Linked DNA regions of Rhinolophus ferrumequinum. The protein of the gene in region 1 interacts with the protein of each later gene in a pairwise test. Links are inferred from orthologs where the notes say so. Each region holds a gene or a part of one and is shown on either strand. Other genes may lie near its edges. The genes, in order: PPP1CC, TOR1AIP1, AATK and SH3RF2.

Region 1 (7,726 bases):
CACTGTAGGGATATGAGACCAAATCAGCAGCTAGCTTATTTTCTCTCTTAAATCCAAGTTTTACCATGCAGTTATTTAAACAATCAAACATTCGTTATAAAAAGAGAAATAACCTTATAAAGTTTTATCATCAACGAGGCAAAACTTGGATAAGAGCTTCTAAGGTGGGTTGCACAAGTGATACTTAGCTTAAGGAAAAACTACTGAAAGTGCAAAAAAAAAAGAACTGCAAAGCCGGTGACTAAGATCTAAATCAACATGTTGTTTTTCTTAAAGACTTCACTTTTGAGTTGCCTTTTCAGTACTATCAACGAGCTACTTTTCAACTAGCTTAAAAGATGAGGCAATTCTGAACATGTAAAAATTCTAACAAGGTCCCCCAAAATCACACTGCCTCCATTTTCAGATATATTTAAATCTTAATTAAAATTTTTGGGGAACAGGGTTTTTGGAAAATTACAAAAATCACAAAATGTATTATAAACATCTTCTAACTTGAATCTATACATACCGTGTTTCCCCAAAAACAAGACCCAGCCGGACAATCAGCTCTAATGCGTCGTTTGGAGCAAAAATTAATATAAGACGCCAGTATATTATATCTTATCATATTATGACCTGATAAGACCAGGTCTTATATTAATTTTTGTTTCAAAAGACGCATTAGAGCTGACTGTCTGGCTAGGTCGTATTTTCGGGAAAACACAGTATACATGTGTGTATATGTATATTCAATAGATCATCACCATTTCTCTGCCAACTTAACATCGATGAGAAATAAAAAAAGGAATATAAGTATACTGTGCAGCTGGCCTTTTCCCAAGGCACTAAAACATACTACTCTATATTAATTTTAACAAAAAAAATTTTTAAATCTGGTTTTTAAGTACAATATAACAACAGAGAGAAACTATTAAGAAACAATGACTGATTTCATTTTAAATGATCCAAGTTTACCAAGGCAAATTTCTTAGCACAATTTAAAAAATAAGACTAAAATTTACAAAATCTGTTATGTGAATAGAATTATGGGCAAACCAAAACTTAAGTTAACGAGACTTAACTGATCTTAAATTTTGTTTCTAATCCATAGATTTCACATTTTCCTGTTTCCTCAGTGAAATAAAGCCCCCCCCCCCCAATCTAGCCATACATCCCTGCAGAGAAGTGCAGAACTTCAAAATTTTAAATGAAAATTTTAATAAAAAGTTCCTTTCTTATTGCAAACTGGTTCAATTGTTTCTGGACCACTGCTGCATCATATAAATCAAAGAACGGCATTAACTAGTATGAAAAGCATGGTTCTTATAATAAATGCAGGTACTGAATGAATGATAAGGTCTTCACCCACAAATGGGAATGGCATTTCAAGAGCTTTTCAGGGGTCCATTCAGTAGGTTTTTTCCTTTTCTTTTAATAACATATAAAAGGAAAATACCCCGCACAGATTAAGAAAACATATTTTCAGGAATTTCATTTTAATGACTTAATTCAAAAGATCTGAAAATTCTAACTCCATGTTCATCATGCTGTTAACTCCATCTCACAGTATTTATAGTCCAACAATATTCTAGGAGGATAATGTAAAGGCATTAAAGAAGTTAAAACTCAGCCAAATCTACATTATCCCGTGCCCAAATAAAGGGATTTGAAATCTCCCAAAGTAGACGGGCTCTGGGAACCGGAGGCGGAGGAGGGAGTTCACTCCAGCGTCCCTCTTTAAGATCCTAACTTCTTCCGTCTCCCACATCAATACGAATCAATTGCAATGCATCTCACGAGTCTTAGGTCAGCCAAAGCCAAAGCTTTATTTTAACCTTCGCTTAACCACTGGACACCTCCTTCCTTCACACATAGCGTCCTAGCTCCCTGGATTTGAAATCTGTCACTAATTGTGTAACCTTGGTCAAGTGACTTCACTTCTGTGTCTTAGTTTCTTCTGAAAAACCGGAAAAAACAATAGGACCTACCTCGCAGAAACTGGTGGCAGAATAAATGAATCTGTGTAAAGTGCTCAAAAACAAAAAAAATCCAGACACATAGTAAGCGCTGGCTATCATGATTGTAATTTATTAGACGAACGCAAAGCGCTTTACAGAGCCTGGCACATAGGAAAGATCATAACGAAACTGTCATCATCCTTGGTTTCACGTTCAGAAAAGAGCGCGGAGACCTCAAGATAAAAGACGACTTGAAAAGAGTATTTGGGAGCGCAGGAGAAGATGGGTTCCAACATTCCCTTGAGAGGTGAAGGCTGGTCACTAAGTAACAAGAAATGAGCCCCCAGACCCTAGCTCCAGGGAAAATAAAAATGAGCAAGACAGGATAGAAGCCCTTCAACCCGGTGGAACCCACATCCCATCAAATCGCTTTATCGGAGAGGACGAGTACCAGAAATTACGGAACACGCCGTCCTGCAGGTTGGACTGGGGTCCCTAACCTTCTCTCCTCCAAAGATTGGTCCGGTTTATGGGGTGCAAGGGGGTACGACCGGAAACGTGGGGGTGGGGAGCAGAGTTTTCAAATTTCCACGACCAGGAAGAAGGCTGCACTCGAGTGCAATGAATGAGTGGAGCCGGGAGAGTCCGCGGGTTGGGCCAAGTGCGGACCCAGGCCGGCCTTCCTCCGGCAGAAGCCCCCAGCCCGCGGGCCAACTCGCGGGCTCATTCCCCTCCGCTGTGCAAGCCCAACCGGCCTCCCAACTCCCCCCACCGCGAGCCCTCGAGGCCACCCACCTCCCCTCAGCCCACCCGCCGCCCCCTTCACCTTCCAGCAGCCGTTGGATGATGCTGTCGATGTTGAGTTTATCTATATCCGCCATCGCCTTCCCACCGCCGACCTTCCCGCAGCGGCGCCGCCGGCGGCTCGCGCCCGGGACTCACACCTCCTTTCCCACGCCACGAGCACAGCGGCAGTGGTGGCGGCGGTGGCAGCAGCCGCTGCGGGTCCCCCCCCAACCGCCCCGCTCCCTGCTTCCTCCTTCTCTCCCCACTGGAACCACGAGAAGAACAAAATGGCCGCCGACTCCTTAGGCAGCCTCGGGCGGCGCACGGATGCGCGCGGGGGAGTGCAGCGGCCCGGCCGGGACTTCTTTATGGGCCATAGGGCGCACGGGAGGGGGCGGGGACAGGGCGCGAGAAGGGGGCGGGGCCAGAGCGCGGGAATGGGGGAGGAGACGGTTTAGCGTAACTGCGACCGCGCGTGGGATCCTTCCGCCAAACGGGCCGAGCAAATAGGCCCCCTGGCGGGAGCGTGAATTGCAAAGTTACACGCGGTAGTTGAGGATGGGGGAAAAGATGTTGTGCGCCCTAGAACTAAGGCCTCCGCGGGATGCTGTTCACTGGGGCCAGATGTTTGCTGACCTGCTATGTGGAAGCCCAGCGAAGGAATTCGGGGGTCCTGGAATTCACTCCTTAAGATAAACCTAGGCTGGAGGTGGAGAGGGAGAATAATAGAAGTAGATTGACTTATTTTGGATTCAAATTTGCTGAGACTTGGCGGGAAAGAGAAAGATTTATTTGGTGACTAATAATAATAAAAAAGAATCTTCTCCCAGATAAATCAAAATGTTAACAGTTATTCATTCTGAGGGGTGGGAATATGGGTATTTGTATATATGTTTTGTGTGCGCTCCATAACTTTTACATTTGGCGAAAAAAATTTTTTAATCTACCCTCAATTTTTTTCATCGTCCTTATGTTTGGGTTATCTTTCTTGAACTCGGTAAATTATATAATCATGTGAAAGGTTACCCTGATTCTAGCCAGAACGAAGGAGAACGAGCGTTTGTAGCAATTAAGGGGAGAATTTGCAGATATCGCGCGTTGGAGTTGGAGGCCGGTATAGAAGAGCGAGTTTGCAGGGGCAGGAATTGTTGGCAGGTCCTGGGTTCTGCAGACACGCGAGGAAACTTTGGCCCATTTTCCTCGGCCTCCCAGCCTCCCCAAGTCCATCTCTCCACAGGAAGCCCCCAAACACCTCCGGGCTTTGCGGGTCTCCTTTATCTGGGTTTGGATGTACAGCCCACACTCAGAAAACACATCTGCTCTCTTGGATCTTGACCTTTTAATTTCTGTTTTTTCCTGCAGCGATTTACAGTTTGCAAAGCCCTTCCCCTCCCCTGAGAAATTCCTTTTGTTTTTCAAGGCACGCAGGGTGCACGAATTCCCATCCCCAAGTGCCATGGAGGTGATTGCACCATCCGGGCATCCATCCTCAGATTAGACGTGTGTGTGTGTGTGTGTGTGTGTGTGTGTGTGTGTGTGTGGCGGGTGGGGGTGGTAAGCACAGCAGGGCGCCAGTCCTTGCACGTGGACCGGCTCCTGTCTCCAGAGCGCTGAGGTTCAGAGCACCCCCTGCTCTGCTCAGCGACTTGTTTCATTACCCAGTCACCAACTGCACTCTCCAGAGCTGTGGCTCTGTTCACTAGAAAACACACACAAGTGTTGTTTGTCAGCCCAGGGCACAGAGCCCTGTTGGTGACATTCGGAGTGGATGCCCAGCGCTGTTGTGAATAGCTGGCTGTGGAGGGCAGGGTGGCTCTCCCTGGACGAGTTGAGACTCTGGGCTCCTCCAGAACAGGGCCATCCTGGCAATGACAATTAGAGCAGGAATATGAAAGCGATTCATTCAGCAGACATATTTATGGAGCACCTACTCTGTGCCAGGCATTGTTCTAGGAATGGAAGCAGGAGTGAACAAGACAGACCAGGCCCTTCTCTTATGGAGAGTCATCTAGTGAGCCAGACAGACAATAAACAAAGATGCAAATAAAAATATCAGCTTCTAATAAGTGCAATGGAGAAAGAAAACAAACACTGTACTCATCTTCTTAGTATGTGCCCAAAACTATCTCACTGAATCCCCAAGGCAATCCTAGAAATTATGTGCTATTCCTACCACACCCATGTTACAGGTGAAAAAAAATGAGACAGAGAGGCTAGGTTGTTTGCCAAAGGTCACACAGGTAGTAAGTTACAGAGCCAGGGCTGGAACTCAGGACAGCCAGAAACTAAAGCCCTTATATTCAATAAATCCCCACTGAATCCCCAGCACCCAGCACAACCCTGGCACACACTAGGCACATAACAAATGTGGAACCCAATGGACTGATCTAAGTGTGTCTCCACCCACAGTGAGAGTGCCATAATTTTCCATATACAAAATAGCAGGTGTGTTAACATCTGCTGACGTCGGGGCTGGAGAAGGACTTCAGACTGGACTGGGACATGGGGAGGGCCTCTTTGTCCACACGCCATTCTTTGCTGGGCTACTCCCCTCCAGAGTCCAGTTTTGCTGGCATGCGTGTAAAAGAAGTAGCTGGCTCTGAGCCTGAGACTGGCATAAGCTCACAGAGTAGGCCTGAACAGCTCCCAGAACACAGCCAACAGCTCTGGGACGAAAAACCTTATCCCCTACTGGCCTTTTTCTGACCTCCCCAAGGACCAGCCGACAAGCATTTGCCAGAAAAGCTACTGTCTAAATAGATGGTGTGTCCCTTCCCCTCTCTAGTTTGTCTATTTGTAAAATGAGGAGAGTAGATAAAAATGTACTTTTCGAACTGTCTTCCTTGGATCCACAGAGCTTTTTAGGGGCTTGTTGAAGATGATGGGGAGCTAATAGGGTTCTGGTCCCCAACTCCTGGAGTCAACCAACGTAAGAACCATAGCACACAGTAAGCACTCTATCAAAATTAACTATTATTACTATTATCTGCTTTAGACATTGAGCTTTCACAAAAGATTTGAAGCGGGGGGGTGTAGCTAAAGTATTTGAACCAATAGTATTTCTAAGGATACTGTAAGCTTTGAGGACCCTGTGCCTAAATGGGCCAAGCTGGTAACATGAAAGAATTAAACCACAGGTGGGTAGGAACTGTGTGTGATGAATTGGAGAGCCATCTAAGGTGTGGCCACTTCCCAACTCTGCTCCATTGGAGCCTTGTGGGATACGGTGTGGCCAGATCCTCTGAGTTTTCAAGAGAACTTGAATTTGGGGCATATGGATTTTTATGTGAAATGTTCCAATTTTTAAGTTGGTCATGAATTCCAATTCGTTTAAAACACTGTGTGAGGCTGACAAAATACATCTGTGGGCTACTTTTGGCCCTAGGCCAACAATTTGTAACTCTATTCTAGAATTTTGGGGGTGAACTCTTCCCCTTCCAATTTAATGAGCGTTATTATTGTTAAATGATTCAAAGAAATGTTGTTGATGAGGTTTGCCAGAAAATCTGGACCTACTTGGATATTGTGAAGGTTTTGTATAAAGTAGGAAACCGTAGGAAAAAATACGGGTGAAAGCCCTTCGACAGAGTCCCCAGCTTTATTTCAATGTCCTGTGGTATTACCAGCAGACACTGGTATTGTTTTTTTGCAAATGTTTCTTGAGGCCTTCCTCTGTGTGAGAAGCTGGGGACATAGCAGTGAACAAATCAGCATAGTTCTCATAGAACTCCCAGTCTAGTGGAGGAGACAGACAGGAACAGAGAAACAGTCAAAGAAGGTAATTCCAGAAAATCATGAGTTTTGTGAGAGAATTAGAAGGGATCATGTCACCACATAGTAGAGAAACTCTGAGGATTTGACATTTGAGTCAAAATCAGAAGATTGAGAAAGAGAATCATGGAAGAGTAGTCCCCCATCAAGGAAACAGCAAGTGCAAAGGACCTGAGGTAGGAACAATATTCCAGCACTGGGGGAATGGAGAAAAGGCTAGAGTGGCTGGAGTATAGTGTGAGGGGGAGGGTGTTAGGAGAGAAGGATGAAGTAGGCGAAGGCCAGATCACTCCGGGCCCTGTAGGCCCCAGGAAGACAGATTTTATTCTAAGCCTAATGGAAAACAACTAGAGGGTGTTAGGCAGAGGAGTGACGTGATCTGATTTGGTTTTTAAATAAGCTTATTTTTTGAAACAATTTTAGGTTTACTGAGAAGTTGCAAAGATAATACAAAGAGTTTCCATATACCATTCACTCAGTTTCCCCTTAATGTTAATGTCTTACATAAGCGTGGCATTGCTCTTAATTTTTCAAAAGACCTAAATCATAAAGAAATGTTGGATCGTATAACATCATATAACCTCATTAGCCAGAGAGCATCTTCTCCTAAAGAAGATCTGATTTCATTTTTAAAAGATCCCTTTGGTGTCTGTAAGGAGAATGGACTATAGGTCGGCAGGAGTGGGAACTGTGAGATCAGGGAGAGGGGCTGACGAAAAACGTAACATCCATGCTCTGAGCCTCAGTTTCCTCATCTGCAAAATGGGGATATCACTCATCTCAAAAGGTTGTGAGAATGAACTTCCCAATGTACTTGGAGAGATAATAGTAATAATGAGAACAATGATGGTGACAATAGCTAGCATTTATTGAGTGCTTACTGTGTGCCAGTCTTTGTGCTCATGGCCATTCCTCATGATCAGAGAGAGTAGATTCTTTGGGATGTGTCCAGAAGCCTTCTCCGAGGAGCGGGGTTTAGATGGGCCTTTCCAAATTTCTTGAACTATCCCTGGCCCTCATGGAGTCCATGTTGATGTTGGGTGTGTCTCTCTGAGAAGGCCCTAAATATACTTCCATCTGGACTTACCCAACAGAGAAATAAGGATGATTACCGCCTTGCTAAATGTTCCGTAGCTTCACAAAATGACTCACTCCGCGGTCGGGAAAGCAGCAAGCTGTCCTGGTGTCTGGAGGGTGGATTGCACTGCCATTTGGAACTAAGTCTGGCA
Region 2 (7,492 bases), on another chromosome or scaffold:
ATTGAAAACGGCGACTGGACTTGGAGCTGAGCTGCGCCCTCCACAACTAGATTGAAGGACAATGACTTGGAGCTGATGGGCCCTGCAGAAACATACTTTCCCCCAATAAAATTAAAAAAAAAACAACAGCAACAAAAACAGGTGTATCTATTGTGCATATGTGAATGAATTAACATATACAAAGTGCGTGGTACTTACGAGGTTCTCATGTATGCAACCTGTCTTTTCTTGACACATTGCTTAATTCAATAAACACCTATAAAGAACATTCACTGAAACTCTGAATGAGGTATGATTTGGGACCCTTGATTAAACAGGCTATAATGTGTATACTAAAGTTGGCAGATAAGGAAAAAACCTAAATCATTTTTCTTACCTGGAGTCTCTTGTGCTCTCCTGGTAGTTTTCATTGAGACTGTTTGGCTTAAAACAGTTTGCGAAGATGGTTCATCCTCTGAAGAATAAATATGACAAATGTCAAAATACAGAACATTTGATCTGGGTAAGAGATTATGCATATTAATAGCAACATATAAGCAAAAATGCAAGTAATTCATTTCTTTAGAAATGTGAAATTAGGTTTACCAAAACTTATAAATTTAACTAGTTAGAAATACTCTTAAGACAAAAATAAACTGTCCATCACTGATGCTTTACAACAAAAGTATATATTACTTTAGAAAATTTAAAAGATGAGCTGGAGCGTCATCAATGATGCAGAAGAGTGAAAAATATTTAGATCCTTATAGTTACAATAGACATAAACCCTTTATGTGTTAAAAAATTAACTTACACAACTGCACTAGGCTCTGTGCAAGTCAATACAATTTAACATATACTTATTTAAATAAAAATATGTGCAAAACAGTTTTCCTGATATTGAAGGAAATTAACATAAGTACTAAAGTACAACATAGTCCTTCAAATATATTTGGTAGGATTTTTGTTTTCAGGAACTTTATAATCTTGAGAGCGATAAAACTAACATCTGTGGCTAAACTGTATTGAGTGAATACACCCTATAGTAACTTACATATTTTTAACAGAAAGTTTCCAAAATCAGCACATCTTCAAATGTGTCAGCAGGTAAACGTGCAGCCTATTCGCTGCTCTACACTGAAAATCCGTGTCTTCTTCATATCCATCAATGGTGTACCTAACTATGTAATCCCACTGTGATTCAAACCCCCTGATTTTTACCTCATAGGTGCCTTACCTGGGGCTAACATGAAACTTCACTTGTGACTCAGCGTTAGATCGCGGTTGGGTGCAAGGTGGGAGAGGATGAATTAAGGGAGTTGGTTCACCTGTGACTCACCTAAACTATACATTCATTTTGTCAGCACCCTTTTCGCCCATGTAGATGAAAACTAAAAAAAAAGTATTGCTTTGTCAGGCTACTACTTAACCACTGAGGTTACACGTAGAGCCCCCAACGTGGCAAATTTTTGGCAGAGACCATCATAGTCGAGAAAGAGCGTTCAGTGCTCAAGTTTATCAGACATTGGGGGCTTCAAGTTCGGGATAACTGACTTACCCCTTTTCGGTGTATGTACTTGAGTGGGGTCTCAAGTCAATTCACCAACTATGCTAGCCCACAAAACGCCCACTCACAAAATTTCCTTCCCTCTCTCCCCACGTGGATAGTGATGGGAAAACACTGGAAGGTCATCTCAGAACCGTTGATTCTCAGCTGGGGACTTTTGGCCTCTGAGTGTCAAAGGAGGAAATGGAAGTGGCTTTGGTAGATACAGCCGCAGGACAGAGAAAACCGAAATGAAACCGACCCCGGAGTCACTCGGTGTCCCGCCTGCCGCCTAACTCGCCGTCCCCTTGTGAAGGACCGCAGAAAGGCACTCCTGACACTCCTAAACTGATGCCCAGGGATGAGCAGAGATCCCCGACTCTGCTCACTGCTCCGCACGACTGACTGCCTTTCCACTCCTCCCACCTGTGCTGCTTTCCCTCCAGCGGGAGGGAGCCACCCCAGCCCCGGCCGGGACGAACTCCGCGGGGACGCCCACCAGCCTCCGAGGCGTGTACACACGCCGCGCCCGCCCGCCCGCTCGCCGCGCTCGCTCGCTCCTGAGCTTGCGGCTGGAGCTGTTACCTCCGTTGGCCTCACCTTCAGAGGAATGAGAGTCCCGTAATCCTCTCCGGGTGGAAACCGGTGACGGCTGTAGCGGAGACTGCGGTGAGTGCTGCTGCTGGGGGCGAGCGGCACTTCGCGTCTTCATCTCCCGGGCTTCTTGGAGTCGCGGCTGCCTCCGCTGCCGAGACCGAAGGTAGTAGGCGCTTTCTCTCACTTCCTTTTTCGCAGAATCAGGCCGGAACTCTTCTAGTCGGATTCGGGTTCTCACCGGGGACTTTTCTTTGGCCACCCGAGGCTCGAAGTCGCCGTACACTTCTGGCGGCTCCTCGGAGAACCTCACTTCCCGCCGGCCGTGGCGCGACGGCGAAGGAGTTCCGTACGCAGGCGCGTCGCTGCTACCGCCATTTTGAGGGGCGAGCCGTCGCCTTCCCTCCCGGATGGGGGCCCTGGGTGTGACGTATATCCCCCATCCTACCATCACCCGTTCCACCCGCCGCCCCTCGCCCGCCATAGTTGTTGACGTAGCTTGAGTCGATAGCGAAGATGGCTTTGACGACTCTAGAATCTCCTGCCGTTGGTGACGACGGCTTATCCGGGTGATGGGCGGTGGTCGCAATGGTCAGGGAGGCAGTTGAGAGTCGCCGGGGCTGCCGCCTGCGTCGTCGCTGCTGTGTTGCAATCCCGCCTCTGGGCCCATGGTGTGTCCGAGGGCTGTGGGAGAGGCAGTGCCTGTGCTGGGTCAGCTGCTCGTGGGGTCACTCCCGCCTCTTGGCTGAAGGCACCAAAGAGGAGGAGAAGAGGGAGGAGGGCGTCGCTGTCCTCGGCCTTGGGGGAGAGGGAGGGGACGACAGAGAAGGGACAACTGGCTTGGCAAATTGCGTGCCCTAAACCCAGCTGCTCGTGGCAACTGTTGCCCGCACGCAGGTGACGCCGGAGCTGGCTCCCAATACCGAGTCTCTGGAAAGGCGGAGGGAGACGGGGGTGGAGAAGTTTCAGTCCCCAGCCCCAGGCTGTTGCGCAGTTTTTCTGGAACCTTTTTGATCCCCTGCTACCTTAGCCGTGCCTGGAAATGTCTCTAGCAGGAGTGATGACTGATAAAGATACATTTGTGTCATCTTTTCTTAGAGAAAATTTTGGTCTCAAGCTCCTTATGAAAGCAGTTACCCAGTTTTAAATTTTAAGTCACCTGTTGAGAGTATAAAATCGCAACTCCCGACATACTCGGGTGGATTCCCATTTGCAAAATACACGCATAGCAAACGTCATATTCCTGGCTTTTGTGTAAAAGCTCTATTTCAGTAGCACTGTTGTGAAAGTTTATTAGTGCTGTTCATGGACAGAGGGAAATGAACAAATTCGTAGGTTAAAGACAGCTGTAATTATAGCTGTGGTCCGTTATTTTTACTTTGATGCTGGACCTGACTGGATACGCTGCATTTGATTTACAGTTTCCTGCGTTTATTTTACTGAATAAGAAAGTATGAATAAGCACTATTTGTTTCACCTCCAAATACCGTATTTACAGATGTGGATAATCGGCAACCAAATTTAGACACACTGAGGGAAGACATTAAGTTAGTAAAAAGTCTGAATAATTATTGAAACAGATTAATGTTATCTTCAACTGCACACTTTCATGGAGGATGTTTTATAATTGATTTTGGTAAATAGATTTTAAAAATTGTGATGATACGAATTAAAATGAAGGATTCTGAAAATTTTGAAGGTATTTAATTGTTTATGCTTTCAAGTATTTTAAATCACCTTAGAATGCTTTTGAGTAACTCATTTGCTCAAACTGGGCACAAATTTCGATTTAATGAAATGTTAAGATGTACTATGTTTTCACTAATATATTTGGCCATATAGTATTTGGTCACAGACACAAGGAATTACATACTTTAGAGAATCAGGTTTTAGCCTGTTAGTTTAGTCTAGCTTTGTTTGGTATATAAAATATAGCCAAAGAAACTGGAGGAACAGTGACAAGGGAGATACTACTTTAAAAAAAAAAGTCTTTTAAGGGAAAACTAAAGGCATATTCTCCCTTGTCAGCCTGGGTTAGATAGTATATTTGGAAAATTTGTGGGACTTACTTTCTGATAAAATGTTGAAAAGTACTGGTACTTGCTTAATACCTGGGTTTTATTTGTTTTAAGTCATGCTTTATAAGGTGCTAATTATATTACTCATTAACATATGGTAGTAAAAGTTCTGTAATGTAATTAAGAGATATAAAATTATAGTATTAAAGTACAAAGTTCATATTATGAACTTTAGTGCATATATTAAAAGCCTTTTTAAAACATCAGAACAGGTGACTATATAGAAACTTGGATATAGACTTGTAAACTTAGGTTTGGGGGACATATTAAAAAAGAGAAAGGACAAGAGGTTCTACATATTATTGACTCATCAATCCATGTGTAATAATACATAATCCTAGCTCCGTCATACCTGCCTTCCACACCTAGCAACTTTACAAATACCAACTTGCATCACAAAAAGCTGAGGCAAAGCTAAACTCTAGTCAAACTAGATATTCTGCTGTAAATGTTTTCCAAACTGTAGGGATGTCCAAAAGAGGTGACGCTGCAGAGACAGTAGACTCACAGCCACTATTATAAGGGAATTGCTGGGCCACCAATACCAAGTGGAGGCATGAGCTCTGGGTGTTAGACAATTACTCTGGGAATGTGAGATATATAGAGTAATTCAGTGAATCAAAGGAGAAGACGGGTAAGAGAAGAAAGGATTATAACAAAGAATTATAACACTCATTAATTCACATATTTATTAAACATCTATGTTGGCACAGAATAGGTGTTTAATAAATATATGGATTAAATTAATGAGTTTTTTTAATTATTAAAAAATTTTTTTTAAATGAATGTATTCTTTATCCCTTGGGAATTTGCCATGTATTAGGGAGACATATACAAACAATTATAATTCAGATTAAATGACTGGCAATATACCTAGCTGTTCTAGGTCTCAAAAATCTAGTGTTCTTGACACTAGATTTCAAAATAAAGCAGCTATTTTAAATGAAACATTTTAAAATCATTTTTGTATATGAGTTTTTTAGGGTAAGCAGAAATCCAGTTATATACACTGAGGAGTCATTTATCAATCCATTGTACATGGTAGTCATATTTGTGTGCTCAGATAAGCAAGTCACTTTGGGGTTATATCCTAGTAGAAAGCAACAATGTTATTTTTTTGAAGCTATATATTTTTAAATTTTTCTGTTACACTTTTCATTTTCTGAATTTTCTACAATGAGCATGTATTTATAATAAAAATACTAATTTCTTTGAAGGAGGAAATAGTCAAGTGTCTTAAACTATTTAACTTCCTGTTCCTTAAAGTGAGATATTAAAGCACTTTAAAAATACAGATAAATGCTTTTTTCACAGTATAAAGACAGTGCCCAAATAAAAGGTTTAAGAGGAACTTTGTATTTGGAAAGGCTATATTAAACTAGAATGAAGTATTATGAAAATTTTTCTTTAACTCATTCATGCCAGAAATAGCACTCCTTAGGCATAGTACAATTCTCAGCTGTTCCTATCTTTTAAGAATCTGTTGAGAAGAGATTAGTAAAAAATGACAAAATAATAAATATACCAATGCATGATTACATAGCACAAACCTGAGAGACAAGTGGCCCACGTATTCAGTAATGGGGTAATCAAGATAGAGTATGGATTAGGCAAAAGATTATTATAGGAGAGATTTATTTTCAGAATTAAAACATTTTGGTATTTATTTCAGAGGAATAAATTGTTGTAAAGATGAACCCCTACATGCCTGATTAATTACAGCTGGAATTAAACACATGAAATTTTGGCATAGAGCAGGTAAGGAAGTGCTTCTTTTCATTCCTTTGAAATTTAAGAAATTACTACTTTTAAAAGTGATTTAGCTAGGTGCCATGTGGTATCCTGGATTGAACCCTGAAAAGAAAAGAGATTAGTGGAAAAACAGGTGAAATCTGAATGAAGTCTGGAGTTCAGTTAATAGTAATATATCAAACGTGTTGGTTTCTTATTTGACAAATAGTCTATAGGAATGTAAGATGTCAACATTAGGGGAAACTGGGTGAGGAGTACAGTAGTATATGAGATCACTTATTTTTGCATCTTTTATGAAAATCTAAAATTATTCAAAATAAGTTAATTTTTAAAACAGTGATTCACAATTATCTTGGTACATTTTAAACAAATATAAGATTTATCATTTATTGGCCACATTGATGTAGTATTCATATTTGCAAAAGCACTTACTTACGAAATTAATCAAGTGATGTCCAGACTCCTTTCTTCTGTTAAATACATTTTTAGTCTAAACTAGAAATGAAAAGTTTTGTAAAAATTCTTTATATGCTGTAAAATCATATAGAAATGGAATGTTATATTTATTTGTAACTGTAAATTAGTGACTGGAAGAAGTTCACATTTTAAAATAAAAATGTCTCTTTTCCAAATAGAATAGCATACTTATAAATTCCAGCAATTTGACATAAAAAGTGTACTGACTTTTCTCAGTACACTTAAACTTTTCAGATAAAATACATAAATATAGGAAGAAGTCAACATGTTATTTTTAATAAGGAAATAATGATTAAAATATTAGGAGGAAGGGAATGAAAGACATAGTAGCTGGTTCCATTTATTCCCCATTCTCACGAGTGATAGACAAAATATTTTGAAGACTGTTGATATAAATGAAACTGGCTAGCTGGAAGTGTTATACTGAAATTAAGAAAATTTAAACCCAGTATAATATTCTTCCACTTATTCTTTGTTGAGTTAGAAATTGCAGTCAGTTACTAAACAGTATCTAAGAATGTTCATAAGTCTTTTGACTTCTACCAAAAGAGGAAGATTGAGAGGGGAATGTATCAAAAACCACTGTTAAATGAAGAATCATTAATCCAATAAATATTTGAGCCTCTGCTATGCACTAGCCAGACCCTGTTTTAGGTGCTGGGGATACAGCAATGAAAGAACAGACCAAAAGACAACGCTCCATGCCTTCTTGGAATTTATATTCTATAGGAGTCAGATAAAAATCAAAATAAGTAAAATAGGGTGTGAGAGTGTTTTGGAGAAAAAAATGAGGAAAGGGCAAGTGAGATTTATGTGTGTAGGCTTCTTCTATGTTGTCTTGAATTGGTGTAGGTCAGGAACAGGAATTTCAGATTTACAGTTGGCCCTTCAACAGGGTAGGGTGGGTGGTGTTAGGGGCCCTGACCCCAGCCCAGTGGAAAAACTCAACTATTGTCTTCCCCCGTATGCATGGGAGATTGGTAAAGGACCCCTGCGAAAATCCAAATCCGCCCATGCACGAGTCCCTTACATGAAATGGTATAGAGCAGGGGTGTCCAAACTGCGG
Region 3 (7,190 bases), on another chromosome or scaffold:
GGGGCAATGTGAGTACAAGGGGCACCTGCCCCCTCCCCCAGCCCCAGCAGCAGCAGCAAAGGGGTGGGCTGGGGGGCAGGTATAGGGATGTGAGTAGGGGGAGCCGGCTGGGTGATGAGTTCTGGCGGGGAGGGGCATCCTGGAGCCCTGTGATGCCCACTGCGGTACCCAGCAGGTGGGTTTGTGGGCTGGAGCTGGGGCAGCAATGATGATGTGACTTATTATTATAGGAGGGACTCCAGAGGTGCTGACCCTGTCCCCATGGCCCTGTCCCGTGGCTTTCCCCTCTGCAGTAGGGGAAATGATGCCCCCCAAAAGATATGTCCATGTCCTAACCACCCCCACGGGTACCTGTGAATGGGACCTTGTTGGGAAATGGGTCTTTGCAGATGTGACCAAGATGAGGTCACACTGGCTTAGGGAGGCCGCAAGTCCACTGACTGTTCCTTACAAGAGGCTACCATGGAGGAGGAGCCAGGGGACAACGGAGGTCCCAGGCAGCCGCTGTGTTCCTGCTCCCGCCTTGATTCAAAAGCGTGATGTTTTGTGTTCATCCCAGATTTTCCTCATTAATTTTGACTCTAAGATATTGCAGTAAAATATTAGTTGCCTTAATGCCTAAGTTTGTTTTTGACAGCTTTATTGAAATATAATTCACGTATGTAGCATAGAATTCACAACTTTGGACTGCACAAGTGAGTGTTTTTAACAGCTTATTCACAGGGGCTACTTGCAGAGTTCCATCACCCCCAACAGAGGCCCTGTACCCCTTAAGAGTCACTCCCGGTTCCTCTGTCCCCGGGCCTCTGACAGCCGCCAATCCACTTTCCGTCTGTGCGCTGGGGGAGTCTCGGGACCCACATAAGTGGGATCATACCTTTGTGTCCGGCTCATTTCACTGAGCGTCATGTTTTCGAGGTTCATGCGGGTTGTAGCATGTCAGCACCTCACTCCTTTTTATGGATCAATAACATGCCATCATGTGTATCCGTTCACCTGTAACATGCCATGGCGTGTATCCATTCATCTGCTGATATGATTGCTGAGTTTTTGTGCCTTTGGTGTCTCACTCACCTCACCTGTGTCCAGTGTGGCCCCCACCCCACCCCACATGCTCCTGAACGTGGGAGGCCTCTCCCCTCATCCCACTAATGCCTCAGGCTTTCCTGGGTCTCCTCTAGGCCCAGCCCTCTGCAGACACTGCTCCGGCTAGGCCTGGCCCCCTCAGGTCAGCTCCTTCCAGGGAGGATGCTCGCCCTGCACGGTCCCTGGCGTGGGGCAGGCAAGACTTGTCCTTACCACTGTCAGCCACAGTGCCCCTGTCACCCCCGTACACTCAGCCTAAGGCTCCTGCCAGTCAGCTTGGTCCTCGTGGGCCCAGGTACACTCCTTGTCCTGTGGTACAGGAGTCAGGAAGCGGCGTCCCTGCCAGCCTGGCTTTTGTGCTTGAAAGCACATCGTGATCTGCCAGTACCCCTGGGGCAGTGGTCACCCTGGTCACCCAGGTATTGGTACCCTGCCCTCACTACTGTGAGGCCTGGCCCCTGCTTGAGCTGTGGAGGGCTCTGTGGTGCCCTGCCTGCCCCCAGGTGGTGGGAGGGCACGTCTTTAGGGACCTCTTGCCATCCTGAGATCAGCAGAAGCCAGCATGGTAGGGCCCCCAAGGTGGACTGGCTACTGGTCACCCCCAGACTTGCAGGTCCCCTCCTGCCCACCCTCACCCTTGCATGCCCTGTTCATTGGGACCTATCCCTCTCCTTGCCCCTGTCCCAACACTGTCCAGGAGGCCCAGGGCACGAAGCATGAGGTTTTGCCACTGGGACTCAGGTCCTCTGCTCTTTCTCAGAGGCGAGGACACTGGCCCTCAGGCTCCAAGGCCCAGGAGAGTGTCAGGCAGACCCGCTTGCAGGAGGCCAGCCCCCAGCCTCTCAGCTCTGCCTTCCCCAGGGCCGCAGGGCTCTGTCCTGCCCATTCGCCCTTGTCACACCATCTGGGGGCCTTGGGGGACCTGGAAGGACAGCAATTCTGGTCCCCATCTCCAGGTAGCAGGCTGACAGACCCTCCCTGTAAATTCCAGTGCCAGCCTCCCTGCACGACTCCGTAGAGAGCAGTGAGGGTGTGGTCGCTGGCCACACATGGGAAGTACTGGTTGAAGGGACAGATCAATGGTGGTGACGGGGGACTCGGAGCACCTCCAGTTCAACAGTCACCAGGCCAAGGGAGCAGCAGGACTCTCGTTCTGGTGACATCTCAGAGGACCCTGATGTATGGGGCAGAACTGGCATCTGGTCAAGTGGGATGAGAGTGTTGGCCCTGGAGCCAGAGGGTCTTCCCCTCCCCCACCCGGACCCCAGAGGAGGACCTGTAACCCTAAAGTCCCCGAGATCTGGCCCTTCCATGTGCCAGTATATGCTGACGTGCATGGGTTCACGGGCAAACCCAGGTCATGGAGAGCCGTCTTCCGACTCTGATTACTGAGGCCAGCCATGGTGGTGCAGAGGTTCTGGATAGAGGCAATTTAGGCCACTGGTCACCCCTGCCTGTCCCCAAGGAACCTCCAGGTGTCTGGGTCCCCTTCCCGAGTGGGTAGAGGCAGGGCCATCCCGATGGGAGTTGTGCAGTCTTGGGCTTGCCTCCTTGGTGGGAAGGGGAGGCCTCCAAATAGGACCCAGCCCCCCACACTGGGTGTAGTCCTGGATCGCAGCCCTCAGCCATCAACGCCACCAGTGGCCTCTGCCCCTCCTGGCTCTGGGATCTGAGCACGTCTTACAGGCCAGGCCCTCCACCAGCCACTACACCTGTAGCTCCTTCCTCCTCCACCCGCCTGTGGGGCAGAACGACTCAGAGCAGTAGCCACACAATCAGGGCCATTAAGAAGGTTCTGGACAACGGTCCCTCTCCTCAGGCCTGAGGTGGCATGGGGCCTCCCACACCAGGGAACCCCTAATGTCTGAGGGAAAGGGGGGCCCCACAGGAGCCACCCTAGAATAAGAAGGGAACATCCTGTCACCTTCTACCAAGGACTGACTGGTCCTCACCACCCTTTCTGTGTCCCTGCCCGGCCCCCTGCCAGTAACATTGATCCTTGTTCTCCCCAAGGCCCGCGGGGCCCTGCTGAGGGTAGGTGCCCCCTCCTCCTGCTCCTACCCCCCCTTCCAGCTGGGCCCTGCCAAGGGGCTTTGCTCATCTGGCCAGAGAATGAATGGGTGGATGGATGGATGAGTGGCTCAGTTGCAGAAAACTTAAATCTCGGCTACACTGTAATCCTCCGGGTTCCCACGGTGTGGGGAGGGGCTGGGTCCCCAGACCCCTGCCGCCGCGCCCCCACCTGTCCTGCTGTGCTCTCCACCACCGCGTCGGTGCAAGATGGCGCGGCACGGCGCGCGGCGGCGGGAGGGGACAGTCCCTAGGTGCCCGGCGCCGCCTCGCCCGCCCTAAACGCCCGGTGCTGATCACACCAGGCGGGGGAGGCCGCTCCTTCTATACGGTTGTCGCAGCGTGGCACGGGCGTGCTCGGTGTGCAAAAACAGCCCTCCGCACGCTAGCGCGGGCGCCGCCCAAAGGGCGCGGGGGCCGGACCCCACGCTGCCTCAGAACCTGCGTGTGCAGGCCGCGTGCCGGCCCGACCCCGTGAGCGTGGGCCCGGGCGCGTCCCCGGCCACCCTGCGCGCGCTTTCGTATTCTGAGTGCCACGGTGCCCACCCCCGCGTTTGCTGCCGTGTCCCCGTGCCCCCCCGCGCCTCCTACCCCCTCCCCATCCTGCGTCTCAGTGTCCCACTCCCCGCGCCTCCGCGCCCTCCAGCCTGCAGGTCCCCCTTCCTCACGTTTTCGCGCCCCCCAAGCCTCCGCGCCCCCAGTCTCTGTGCCCCTCAGCCTCCCGTCTCCCCTCCGCGCGTCTCCGTGCCCCCCCAGCCTGCCGGTCCCCCTTCCGCGCGTCTCCGTGCCCCCCCAGCCCGGGAGGGAGCCACCCCCGCGCGCGCTCCCGCCAGTGTTTTCGGACTGCACCAGCCCGGGAGCCCGGCGGCGCCGCGGCCAGCCGGGCGGAGGCGCCTCGTCTGTCGCCGCCGCCCGCACCCACACCGCACTCGCACCCCGCTGGCCCCGCAGCCTGCCAGCCCCGCGGCTTCGTCTGTGGGCGCTCGGCCGGCGCGGCGGGCAGGGCGCGCTCCGCACCTGCGGCGGCCGCCGGGCGATGGCTCGGCGCAGGCCGGGGCCGCGGGCGTCTTGAGCGCAGCGCCGCCCCGGGTGCCCGCGAGCTGCTGGCCCTGGCCATGTCGTCGTCCTTCTTCAACCCCAGCTTCGCCTTCAGCTCGCACTTCGACCCGGGTGAGTCCTCTCGCCGCGCTCCGCCGCCAGCCTGCTGCCTGCTGCGCTGCCCCGCGTCCCCCACTGCGGACATGATGCTTCCTGAGCCGCCGGTTCCTATTTTGCATGGAAATTAACCCCTTCCCCACCCACAGAAGGACTGGCTCTCCGTCGGGACCCCCTAGAGGCCTGGGGCCGGTGAAGGTGGACAGGCCTGGGGGCCGGTACCCAGCACAGCTGAGGCCTCCAGCAGTGTGGGTGGGCAGCAGAGGTGCGCCCCCCACCCCTGTGTCTCTGTAGACGTTTCTGGTACAGATAACTGGGGCAGGAGGGCCTGTATTTGCCCCAGGTGTCCAGGTGAGAAGGTTGCCAGGACTGAGGGCCCTGGGGGAGGTGAGGGAGTGCCCCCACCCCTGCCCCTGGAGCCCAAGCCCCCTTGGCCCCATGCTGGCCCTCTGTCTTAGCATGGGAGACTCCTTCCCAGGCAAGGGGCTGGGGCTGGGAGCCAGCAGCCTGCGTGCAGAGGTGGGAGCAGTGGCCGCCCTCGGACACAGCCCACCGGGCAGAGGCTCTAAAGAGATGGGTCTTAGTGAGGCCTCAGAGAGCAAGGGAGGCCGGGGCTGCACGGCTGCTGGAGTCCTGGGGTCAGGCCTCTTACCCCAAGTGGGTGGCCCTGTCAGCGTGTTTGCCCATGGCTGCCTGGCCCCCTGGGGTGGGCAGAGGGGCCCCGGGATAGCTGGAGACCTGCATCTTCCTTGTGCCTTCAGCGGCTCTGGCCCCCCTTCCCCAAGTGGGAGATTAAACCCCTGCCCTGGAGCCATGGCCCAGGGGCCCAAGGTCCACCTACATGTCACTGAGGCTCCAGCACAGGCTAATCCAGCCCAAACAAAGCTGGGCACGCACGTGACGAGCTCTCCTGGGTCCCCTCCCTGGAGCAGGGCCCAGTGCGTGCAGTGATGCACAGGGTCCCCTGGGCACAGCCCCATCTGAAGGCATTTGCTCCTGCGAGAGTGGAGCTGGCAGCAGGGCTGTCTGCTGGGCGTAGAGTGTGGGTGTCCCTCTCTCAGAAATGACTTCCCAGGCGTCTCCCAGGGCTTGGAGAACATGATGTCACCCCTGAGGGCTCGGAATCCAGGCCGAAGCCCTGGCTGGGCCCTGAGGGCAGGGGGTGGAGGTGGCCCTGCTGAGCAGCCCAGGCCCAGACAACCTTTAGGGTCCTGAGTCCTGTGCTTCCGGCAGTGTGTCTGCCGGGAGGAGGGGGTCCGGCTCAGGCCTCCTGGCGTTGGAACTGTTGGCAGTGTGGGTGCCAGGATGGGGGAGGCCCTCTCCACACCCTGCCTCTTGCATGCTCTGTGGGGCCCAGACTTGCCCTGTGTGGGATTGTTACCCCCTTTCTACACCTGGGTGCACTGGGGCACGAGCCCCTGCCCCCACCTCAGAGAAACAGCGCAGCTTTGCCTTGTGTTTGTGTAAACAGCTATGATCAGTGTAATTATAATGTCAGTTTAATGACTTTCAGAGAAAAGTTGTCAGGAGACAAGGGGTGGCCTCCACTGTGCGGGTCAGTGAGGGGGAGACCTGTGTCCACTGCAGGAGGGGACGTCCTGGATGGTGGTACTGGGTAATGGGCTGGGGTGCAGGGCTCGTTTGGCCTCCATGTGAGCATTTGGGAGGAGGAGAGATGGGGTCCCCTGCCCTGCTGCTAGACATCCAGCTTTCAGAGCCTGGCACCCACCCCCTGGAGTCCCACAGCCCAATCTTATCTTCCTGAGCCTCAGTTTTCTCATCTGTAAAAGGGGCTAGTGACCTCTATCCCTCCAGGCCCGGGTGGGGGTTAGGTGCCTGGTGAAAACTTGATGTTCAGTAAACAGAGACTGCTATTTTGGGGGTTGGGGAGGTGCGTGGAGATAAGGCCAGTGTCTTTATGGCTTTTCTCTATCCCTGAAGTGGAGCGAGATGGCACTTTTCAGGTCTGCTAATGTCTGTGGGGGGACCCAGCTGGGGGTCCACCAAACTCGGAGGGCAGGGGATGCTCGTGTTCCTGGCCATCTGAGTTTGTTTCTGTGGTGCTCAACAGTCGGGGGGCAGAGGGGCTAGGCCCGGGCCTGGGCAGAGGGTCCTCCCAACGTCGCCAGGCAGGCCTGCTGCCATGTCGGCTCTCCATCCGTCGTGGAGTTCCGTGGCTGTCCCCACAGAGAGGGCGCGGCGGAGTAGGTGTATCGCAGGAAGCAGACTGAGTTTGAGGCTCTGGTCCTAGGTGCACCCTTGAGCGCGGCCTGGGAGCTGGGGGGTGGGGGCATAGGCCGGACTGCCTGCTCCTGGAGTGATGTGGCCAGTGCAGGAGGGCATCCAGAGGGCTGTCTGCTCTGGGGCCCAGCTCTTCCCCAGGACGTGGGTGACTGGGGATTTCCTAGCAGTCTCAGCCCCGTGACCTCAGTGCTGTGTGGCCTTGGGCCAGTCACTCAACTTCTCTGAGACTCAGTCCTGCTAGGTGAAACCTCATTCTGGGGAGACCAGGTAGGTGGGGCTGAGGGCTGTCGAGGGTGCCACGTATGGTCAGGAGCAGCCGGGCTGGCGGGTGTGGCCTTGAGGGAGCGTGGTGGCTTCTCCCGCTGGAGTGCTTTGAGGCAGGGCGCTGACCTTGTTTCTCACCCGTCCAGTCTCAGGCCTACCAGGTGCCCGGCGGGTGGCTGTGGTCTCTGGGCAGGAGGCTGCTGGCCAGGAGCAGGTGTGAGGACACCATCCCCCTCCAGCTTCTCCCTAAGGACCCCCTGGTTGCAGGTGGTGGATCAGCCCCGCCCTGACCCTGTGGCTCTTGCCATGCCTCAGTTTCTTAATCTGTAAGGTGGGAATTACTGTGGTGCCCGCCCACTTCTCAAGGTCAT
Region 4 (7,849 bases), on another chromosome or scaffold:
CCCATCCTGCCTTTTCCAGGCCTGTGAGTTCTGACTGCTGGCTGGACCTAGGACTAATGGGAAATCTTAAAGAAGAGTGTCAAGCCCTTTTCTGGAATGTGTTCACACATACAAGCACAATGGCAGTAAAAAGCAATGAAGAACCCGCACCAACGCCCCGCTTCTTCCCGCTCTCATGTTTGATTGGTTCCACACTCCCGTCCCGCATGGGCGGCTTGAAGGTGCAGTGAACCAAAGGAGGAGTGAACTGTTGGAAGGAATATTTTAGAAAATCGTTCGGAACACACATCACAAGCCCATTCTCCTTCGCTGGGAAGGACTCCAGAAGATGCTCCCACCCACTGCTACTCTTCACAGCCCCAAGTCCTGGAATGCTGCTGCCTGTTTTAAAGCTCGCAATAGGTAACACTGCACAGAATGCAGCTTTGACTTTCTAAGTATGCCAACGGGTCAGGACACAGCTTGCCATGTTCAGGCTGGCACACTGACTCCTGGGGTGACAGTGCAAATAATCCTGCTGGACTCACAGGACCATGTCCTTCTCTCGAGACGTGCCCTTACACAGCTTCCTGCAACAAGGCTGATGGCGACTCACGTTGTCCAAACACCAAACACATCACTGGGTGATACCTTATATGGCCCTGCTGGGCCCGTTCGGTTTTTAATTGCAGCCGCTGATGTGCATGTGATGTGTGTTTTATTCGTTTTGTAAAGTAAGACATATCTGCGGGGCCCCTGTTCACATCTATGCTTCACAGCCCAGCCATTCCTATTCATCAGTCCACCCACACACACACCTCCCTCCTGTACCCTACTTGGGCGTCAAGTACCTTGATAGCTTTGAATAGATTATGAATGAACATTGTCATAATAGCACTTTATGACGGGGACCAGGGTGGAAACATGGATCTGGGTAAAATTCAAACAAAACCTGACATTTGGAAACTTCTCCAAGATTCCCCAAAGCCACATGCATGTGAGTTTGTTTTCTCTCTGTTTCCCCTCCGTCCTCTGCATTTTTCTGTGCACTGGATTAGCCTCAGAACAGAAGCGAAAGACCAAAAATAAAATCAAGAAGGCTTTCCTTGTCCTACTAACTTCTGGACAAGAAGCAAGAAGAACCTGGGACGCTTTCATGATTCTAAAAGAATTCCTGGAATGAGCAGGTAGCCTCAGGATTCCACCAAATTTCAGTAAAATGGTCGCCGCCCACAGAAACTGATCTCTGAGGAATCCTTGGCAGCACCTGTTTGAAACCTAACTGAAAGTGATAACCCCTCACTCCCGGCATACACAAATCCAACCTCCAAGGGGGACACAATACGAACAAATAAGATCTTTCTTACCCCATCCATGTGGATTCTGATATTCGGCACGAGCCGGAAAGGGCTGGACTGCAGGCCTCTGGGGTTAGTCCTGCTTTTCCTGCTGTCCTGTGAGGTCAGCACACCAGGCTTGCGGACGGAGACCCCTCTCCCTGAGCTCTGCCCGGAGCGCACACCATCCAGCAGGCGCACGAGCAGTAGGTTGGCCGGCAGCGCCTCGATACTGCAAAACACCGGGGTCCTGCACTCGGGGCACCTCAGCTCCTTGTGGGCCTTGAAAATCCTCTGGAGACATGGTTTGCAGAAGGTGTGCTGGCAAGGGAGGACCTTGGCTGTGACATCGAGTTTTTCAAAGCACACGGGGCACGCCAGAAGATCAAGTAACGTCAAATCATCCATCTTATTTTAAAACTCCAATCCTGAGCAGCAGGGGCAGAGTCCACATTGTAGGGTTAGCTAAGCCAGGGGGGCAGAGCCGGTCTCTTGAGAGCGTCAAAATTCCTGCCTGTTTGAAGGAGAAAGGATGAGAGGAGAAAAAAATGTGACTGCTCTGAGAGCTATACCCCACCTACATGGAGGCAGTGTCTCATAAGGCAGTTTGCAAGTACTTTGTTCCAGCACCCAAGTTTCAGATGACTCATTCTGATTCAGTGCTTGCAGGTATAAGACCCAACTCCTGCCTGCTGCAGGATCCGAGGGAGCCTTCAACGGTGACTGACTACTTACTTACTCATTGCTTTTCTGTGTGGAAGGCAAGAACAGGGAGACAGAATTAGCCTGTCTTCCAGCCAGGGCTCGAGGAGGGTCCTTTACCACCCAAGACGGTTTCAATTCTCAAATTAAAGCTCCCTCAGGATGCAGTTTCTGTGAAGCCAGCTATGATCTACCTACCCCTGTTTCCCTAGGTTTCAGTTTCTCTATCACCCGCACCACATGCAGACAAGTCAAGTGTACATGGGTAAGTTTCTCGGAATCTCATGCCGATGTAGAACTATTTCCTTGCCACTGCGTCTTTCCTCCATCATTTTGTTCTAGCAATGTACAAGAAAAACTTCTACTAGAAACTCATTTTCAGTGACAGACAATAGCCTCAGAGACAATATTCCTCCCACAAGAAAAAGTCATGCAGCCTGTTTAGCTACTTTGACAATTGTTCTCAGTTTCAACAGAAGCAGATAGGAATTCTGGATTGTGATCACAGCCTGCAGAAACCAAGATGGAGCAGCATACACAGGTGTGTGGGGGTGGGGGTGGGTGGGGGTGTGTGTGTGTGTGTGGGGAGGGGCGCTTGTTCCAGAAAGTTTCCTTTTGGATGTCTGAAAAGAAGAAGTCTCCAGTTTAGAAAAGTCTCCTGGGAATAGGTCCTGGGTCCCTCACAAGGGCCAACGCTTGAGTGAACGCAGCCACCAGCTCCCACCCCCCCCCCAAAAGTTCAGCAGGACGGCGGGTGGCCCCACTAGGAAGCAGAGCAGACTGGGCACACGAGGATGAGAGATGGTGCCTTGCCTTCCTGACACAACTCCCCAAAGATGTCAGCTCTGAGGAACTGTGCGGGGACCACTGACCTTGAGCTTGTAACCTCTGCTGAGTTCAGCTCAGCAGGATCCACGGCTCTGCCAGGCTCCCTCCAACTTGCTTCCTTTTCCCCAGGAGCCACGCTGCCTGCCTGGCTGCCTGCCGCAGCTTGGAAAACTTTAACAACTCCGAGTCTTACTCCTTTCAAGGGATCGCCTTACCCAGCCCTGTTAACTCTTTCACCGCCGGGCGGCCAGCAGCAGGTTTTCCTTGAGTTCACTCTGCTACTGAGCCCTCCTTTATGTAACAGATTATAAGGGGCAAAACACGTGAGCCCTTACGGCCAAGTATTTATAGTTTATATTTGCACCTTTTTCATTTTCTCTCTCGTCCAAGAAGTCGAAACCCGCTCAGTTATAAACATACGAAGGTGACTGTTTATTTTTAACCTATATGAGGATTTCCTGAAAAGGTAGGTACAATAACAAAGATAAGCAGGCCACCTAAAAAGTATTACTCCTTAAAAATCAGAGTCAATTTAGGGATTTGAGGGGAACTTCAGTGATCTTTTGGTTCAATCTCTTTAAATTTAAAAAATAGTGGCACGTCCAAAACAAAATGACAATAGTACATACACATCCTTGAAAAAATGAAAGCACAGAAGGGAATTTAAAAAGAGGAAAAGCAATGGTCCCAGCTCTCCCCCGGCCCCCTACCCACCGGAGAATTTTTTCACAGCCCCAAATAATGCTTATCCTTTTATTTCTTGATTTATCAATAGCATATTTCATGTAAAGTAACCAAGGTACTTAATAAAGTAAATAATAATAATATTACTTAACACCACAGTAGCCCTTATCCGTGCCGAGCACTGTTCTAAACTCTTTACCTCTATTAACTCATTTAATCCTTTTAGCAACTCAATGATACAAAGGAGGAAATGGAGACACAGAGAGGTTACATAAATCACTCATCCCAGGAGTCACAGCTAGCAATAGGCAGGTGGTCTGTACTCTTAAGTACCATGTCATGTGATGATACAGCTTTAAGGGGGAGGAGAGATGGTAGGGAGCTAAACCTCTTCTGGGATGGCAGGAAGTCAAAAGATAATGACCCAAATTGACCAATCAACTTCTTTTGCAGATGAGGCAGCTGTGCCCGGTGAGATGGAGAGACTCCTTGACGTTGCCCAGTGAGGTAAGGGCAGAACTGGGACTAGAAACCGGGCGTTCCTGCATCTTCTCTCTCCACCTAAGGATGGCACTTCTGTATAATGCAGAAAGCCCTTAGATACCACTGCTTGGGCAAATATTCAGAGGGGAAAAAACGGCCTGAGAACTGAGGATGGTGGTTTATATGTTTTTCGAAGTTCTTCCATGTCAGCTCTGAAAAAGCAAACACGCGTGAAGCTCAAAACAGTGAAGAGAATCAGGATGGAGCAAAGTCAATTGTCGTCTGAGCACAGAAGTCTAATTTGGAGAAGTGTCCACTTCAGAGACCATTTTCAACTCTTTTTTTTTTTTCAGTCTCCCCTTTATGGAGGGTAGTTTGAGCTTCAACAACATCGCATCCCATTCTATTGTCGGTCTCCAATTATTTCCACTTTTATAGATTCTGTGCCCATCAGGAAGCTCCTTGTAATTTGAGGCCCTTTGCGGTGCCTTACTCTGTTTCCCACTTGGTAAAGCTGAGCTCTCTCCTTTGTGAGCTGCCCTGCGGTCCTCTCAGCCTCTAGAAAGGTCTGCTCCAGGGCCCAACTCTTGCTGCAGGGCTGGGGAACATGCTTCCTCCTTCCCTCTTGTTCTTAAACACACTCTATCTCCCTTAGGTGCCCAAATCTGCACTTAAGGCACATGCACACACATGCTTGCATGAGGACACACAGGTGATCTTAACAGTAACATTTACAGAGCACTTGCTGTATGCCATGGACCAGGGCCAAGATTCTAAACAGATTTTCTCATTGAATCCCGCCTGCCATAAGGTAGGCGCTGTCACTTTCCTAGGCTTACAAGGCTTGTGATCTGAACCCAGGTTGGCCCAGTACCAGGGCCTGTGTTCCTTACTGTTATTGCTCCCTGTTATAAAGTTATGTGCGTGTCCTAAGTATACCCATATACTTGGCTGTGTAAATCCGCACACATTTATACATAGTATCCATATTGTACACACCAGCTGTATCCCAGGGCCTGCTCAAAACAAAATGATGAAGTCAAAGGAGCCCACTCTCTGTAACCTGCCCAGGCTCATGGTGTCCTCCATGCTCCTGTAGGGCCAGGGGTCTCAAAAACCTTCGAATCCTCCCATCCCCGAGAAAACAAAATAAAACCCAGCTCTGTCCTAGGAAGGCAGGATAGATCCAGTGGGCTGCTCCGTACTAGCTTATTTGGCAATCGAAGGTTCAGCAGAATAGAATTGTGATGGTAGCTTCTTAGGCACCAGTGGAGAACAGAGAAAGTTTACATTGAACAGGAGTGGTCTTTTCGCATTTCTCAAATCACACCCTATAGGTGGTCCCCAATACCAGCCACATCAGAGGTTAATTTTCACTGAAACTTGGGGAGAAATTTTCTTTTGAAGCTTTTGAAGAAGGGGGAGAATTTTAAGCAGGGATTTTACCTTGGCTTACCCAAGTGCTACCCTTGGCATCAAATCAGATGAACATCTAGTCCTCAAAAACAAACAGAAAAGGTGACCTATGCACACCGTCCCAGACTCCAGGCTCAGGCCACCCCCTCCACGGCTCCCACCTCATCAACACTCCTGTTTATATTTGTACTGTTATGTAGTGATTATAGATTGTACTCTTTTGTAAATACCTGTGTGACATTTATGAGCTTCTGCTGCTTGTATTTACAAGTATATCTTGATTTATGTAAAAAAAAAAAAAAAGGCAAATCTGATCGCCTCGTTCCCCTGTTCAAAACCCTTCAGTAGGTTCCCACTGACTGTAGGATTAAAATCAAAGCCTTGTTCTCCCGTCAGGCCTGACATCATCTGGCTCCTGCTCACCTTTCCTGCCTCAACTTACCCCCATGTCTCCCCCGCACTCACCCACTCCAGTCCCACTGGCTTTCTCTCTTTACTCAGGACAGTTTAAGTTTTTCTGCCAGAGGGCATTTGTTCATGCTCTTCTTTCCGTCTGCAACACACTTTCTAGTTACACTTTTCCTCTTCTTCTCTTCTGTTCTTGCCCCCTTTGCTTTCTTTACCCCCTCCACAGCAAGTTTTAGCTCGCATGCCACTTCCCCAGGGAAGCCCTCCTTGAATCTCATGACTGGAAAGTTTACCCTACCCTTCTCCTTCATAACAGTTGTGATAATTATAGTTCAACAATTACGTAATAATTTATTTAATGCCTGATCCCCCCAAAGACTGTAAGCTCTAAGAGAGCAAGGCACTTATGTGTCTGGTCACTGCTTTACCCCTCATATGTAACACAGTGACTGGCATGCAGTTGATGCTTAATGAATGGTTTTGAATGGATTTATGAATGAATGGTGTTCTTCAAAAATTGTGTCTGGGCAGTTGTACATCAAACTGTTGATAATGGTTTTATACTGGACAGTGCTTGGGTGCCACTCTGAATGTTCTCGGCCCCATCTCTTACTCAGGCTAAGAAGTTTTACCCCATTCAGGTCCCTGCCATGCACCTCTTGCCTCCTGCCCTAGAGCTGTTCTATGATGTCATCTGGGACACCAATGAGAATCTGCTCCACACCCAAGTGTGGACCACATTTAGTGGGTAATAAATGCTTCCCTTTTCAGCATTTGGAGCAGATGGTCCTGAGATTTCCTAAGGTTCTTCAGAAGGTTCTGTGGGACGAATACCACTTTTCCACTGGGTGGCTAATGCAATAATGCATCCTTGTGTTTTCTCTCCCTCATTCCCTGTAGCACTTCTCCATCCCTAACCCCTGATCCCAAATAAATTACCCTGAAGCAAGCAGGCCTTTGTCTCAGGCTAAGATAGTTTTGTGAAAATTTGAAATTAAATCACAAAACCAATGTACAGACAATTTTTGTCAATCATATGTACTTATTTATTGGAGTTATAATTTTAGAGGTATGCTATTTTTCACTCGACTGGCTCTTTGCCATAAAGTTAATAATTTGTAAAACAATCCATAAATCCACCAAAGGAGTCCAGGTAGCTGGAAAGCTGAAGCATTTTAACTGCAGGGGTCATGAAGACTCTCTTAGCCATCATTGGACTCTTGCTGCCTTTTTCCCTCAGTACCTAGTAGAAATTTGGATATATGTTTTAAATATTTAAATGGATCTATAGGATCTGTTTCATGATGCTGAATTTCCCCCCATGTTTTGGTTTTCTAGTGATACCGGGAAACGTTTGGAACCATTCAAGGAGAGGAAGGATTAGAGGAAAGTGGGCACCTTTCCAATAGTGGAAATGTGAAGGAAAGAGGAATGGCAGGGGTTGAAGGTCTATAAAACAATGTCTTTCTTTGTTTGTAGGCCTGCAATGAAATCAACTGTGAGAGTTCCTCTTCAATCAGAAGGGTGTTTGCAGGTAAGCCGTGAACTTTAGGGTATTCCTATGCAGTCATCAGACCTACAGGAAAGTGACCCAAACTGCTGGCATGGAAAAAGAGTCATCCCACATTTTCTAGAGATGACTTATGGTCCTTAAGTTTAGTGAGAAACAGTATGAACCAGCAGTCAAGAGCATGGTTTTGGAGTCTAACAGACCTGGAATCTAACAGCTCTGCCAGTTACTAAAGAGATCACTTGGGCGAATTACTCATTCTTCTGTCCCTTGGATTCTTCATGTATAAAATGAGGTTACTACTAGGACCTACCCCATTGGGTTGTGCTGAGGAGTCAATGAAATGATGCATACAGTAAGTGCTTAATAGATGTAGGGTTCTTCTCATCTTCCTTCTTTTTTGGGTAGGCAGATGCCATCAGAGGACCAAGAGCCAGATGGTTCTTACTCTAACTCAAACTCAACCCAAAGAAGAACACGCCCAGCCATGGAGTCCATTAGT

Evidence for each region.
Region 2: the proteins of PPP1CC (region 1) and TOR1AIP1 interact in binary tests that used the Homo sapiens proteins (3 or more experiments, as listed by UniProt). The link is inferred for Rhinolophus ferrumequinum from reciprocal best matches to the Homo sapiens genes PPP1CC and TOR1AIP1.
Region 3: the proteins of PPP1CC (region 1) and AATK interact in binary tests that used the Homo sapiens proteins (3 or more experiments, as listed by UniProt). The link is inferred for Rhinolophus ferrumequinum from reciprocal best matches to the Homo sapiens genes PPP1CC and AATK.
Region 4: the proteins of PPP1CC (region 1) and SH3RF2 interact in a two-hybrid assay, tested with the Homo sapiens proteins (2 studies listed by BioGRID and IntAct). The link is inferred for Rhinolophus ferrumequinum from reciprocal best matches to the Homo sapiens genes PPP1CC and SH3RF2.

What each region holds. Positions count from the first base shown.
Region 1 is NC_046308.1:6,336,623-6,344,348, forward strand, and holds the start of PPP1CC (serine/threonine-protein phosphatase PP1-gamma catalytic subunit), read right to left. Parts: upstream 3,016-7,726; 5' UTR 2,822-3,015; coding exon 2,767-2,821; intron 1-2,766. UniProt on the Homo sapiens protein: Protein phosphatase that associates with over 200 regulatory proteins to form highly specific holoenzymes which dephosphorylate hundreds of biological targets.
Region 2 is NC_046305.1:12,610,140-12,617,631, reverse strand, and holds the start of TOR1AIP1 (torsin-1A-interacting protein 1), read right to left. Parts: upstream 3,013-7,492; 5' UTR 2,604-3,012; coding exon 2,126-2,603; intron 455-2,125; coding exon 377-454; intron 1-376. UniProt on the Homo sapiens protein: Required for nuclear membrane integrity. Induces TOR1A and TOR1B ATPase activity and is required for their location on the nuclear membrane. Binds to A- and B-type lamins. Possible role in membrane attachment and assembly of the nuclear lamina.
Region 3 is NC_046304.1:54,201,856-54,209,045, reverse strand, and holds the start of AATK (serine/threonine-protein kinase LMTK1), read left to right. Parts: upstream 1-4,183; 5' UTR 4,184-4,271; coding exon 4,272-4,326; intron 4,327-7,190. UniProt on the Homo sapiens protein: May be involved in neuronal differentiation.
Region 4 is NC_046307.1:19,167,352-19,175,200, reverse strand, and holds the start of SH3RF2 (E3 ubiquitin-protein ligase SH3RF2), read right to left. Parts: upstream 3,006-7,849; 5' UTR 2,891-3,005; intron 1,831-2,890; 5' UTR 1,725-1,830; coding exon 1,347-1,724; intron 1-1,346. UniProt on the Homo sapiens protein: Has E3 ubiquitin-protein ligase activity. Acts as an anti-apoptotic regulator of the JNK pathway by ubiquitinating and promoting the degradation of SH3RF1, a scaffold protein that is required for pro-apoptotic JNK activation.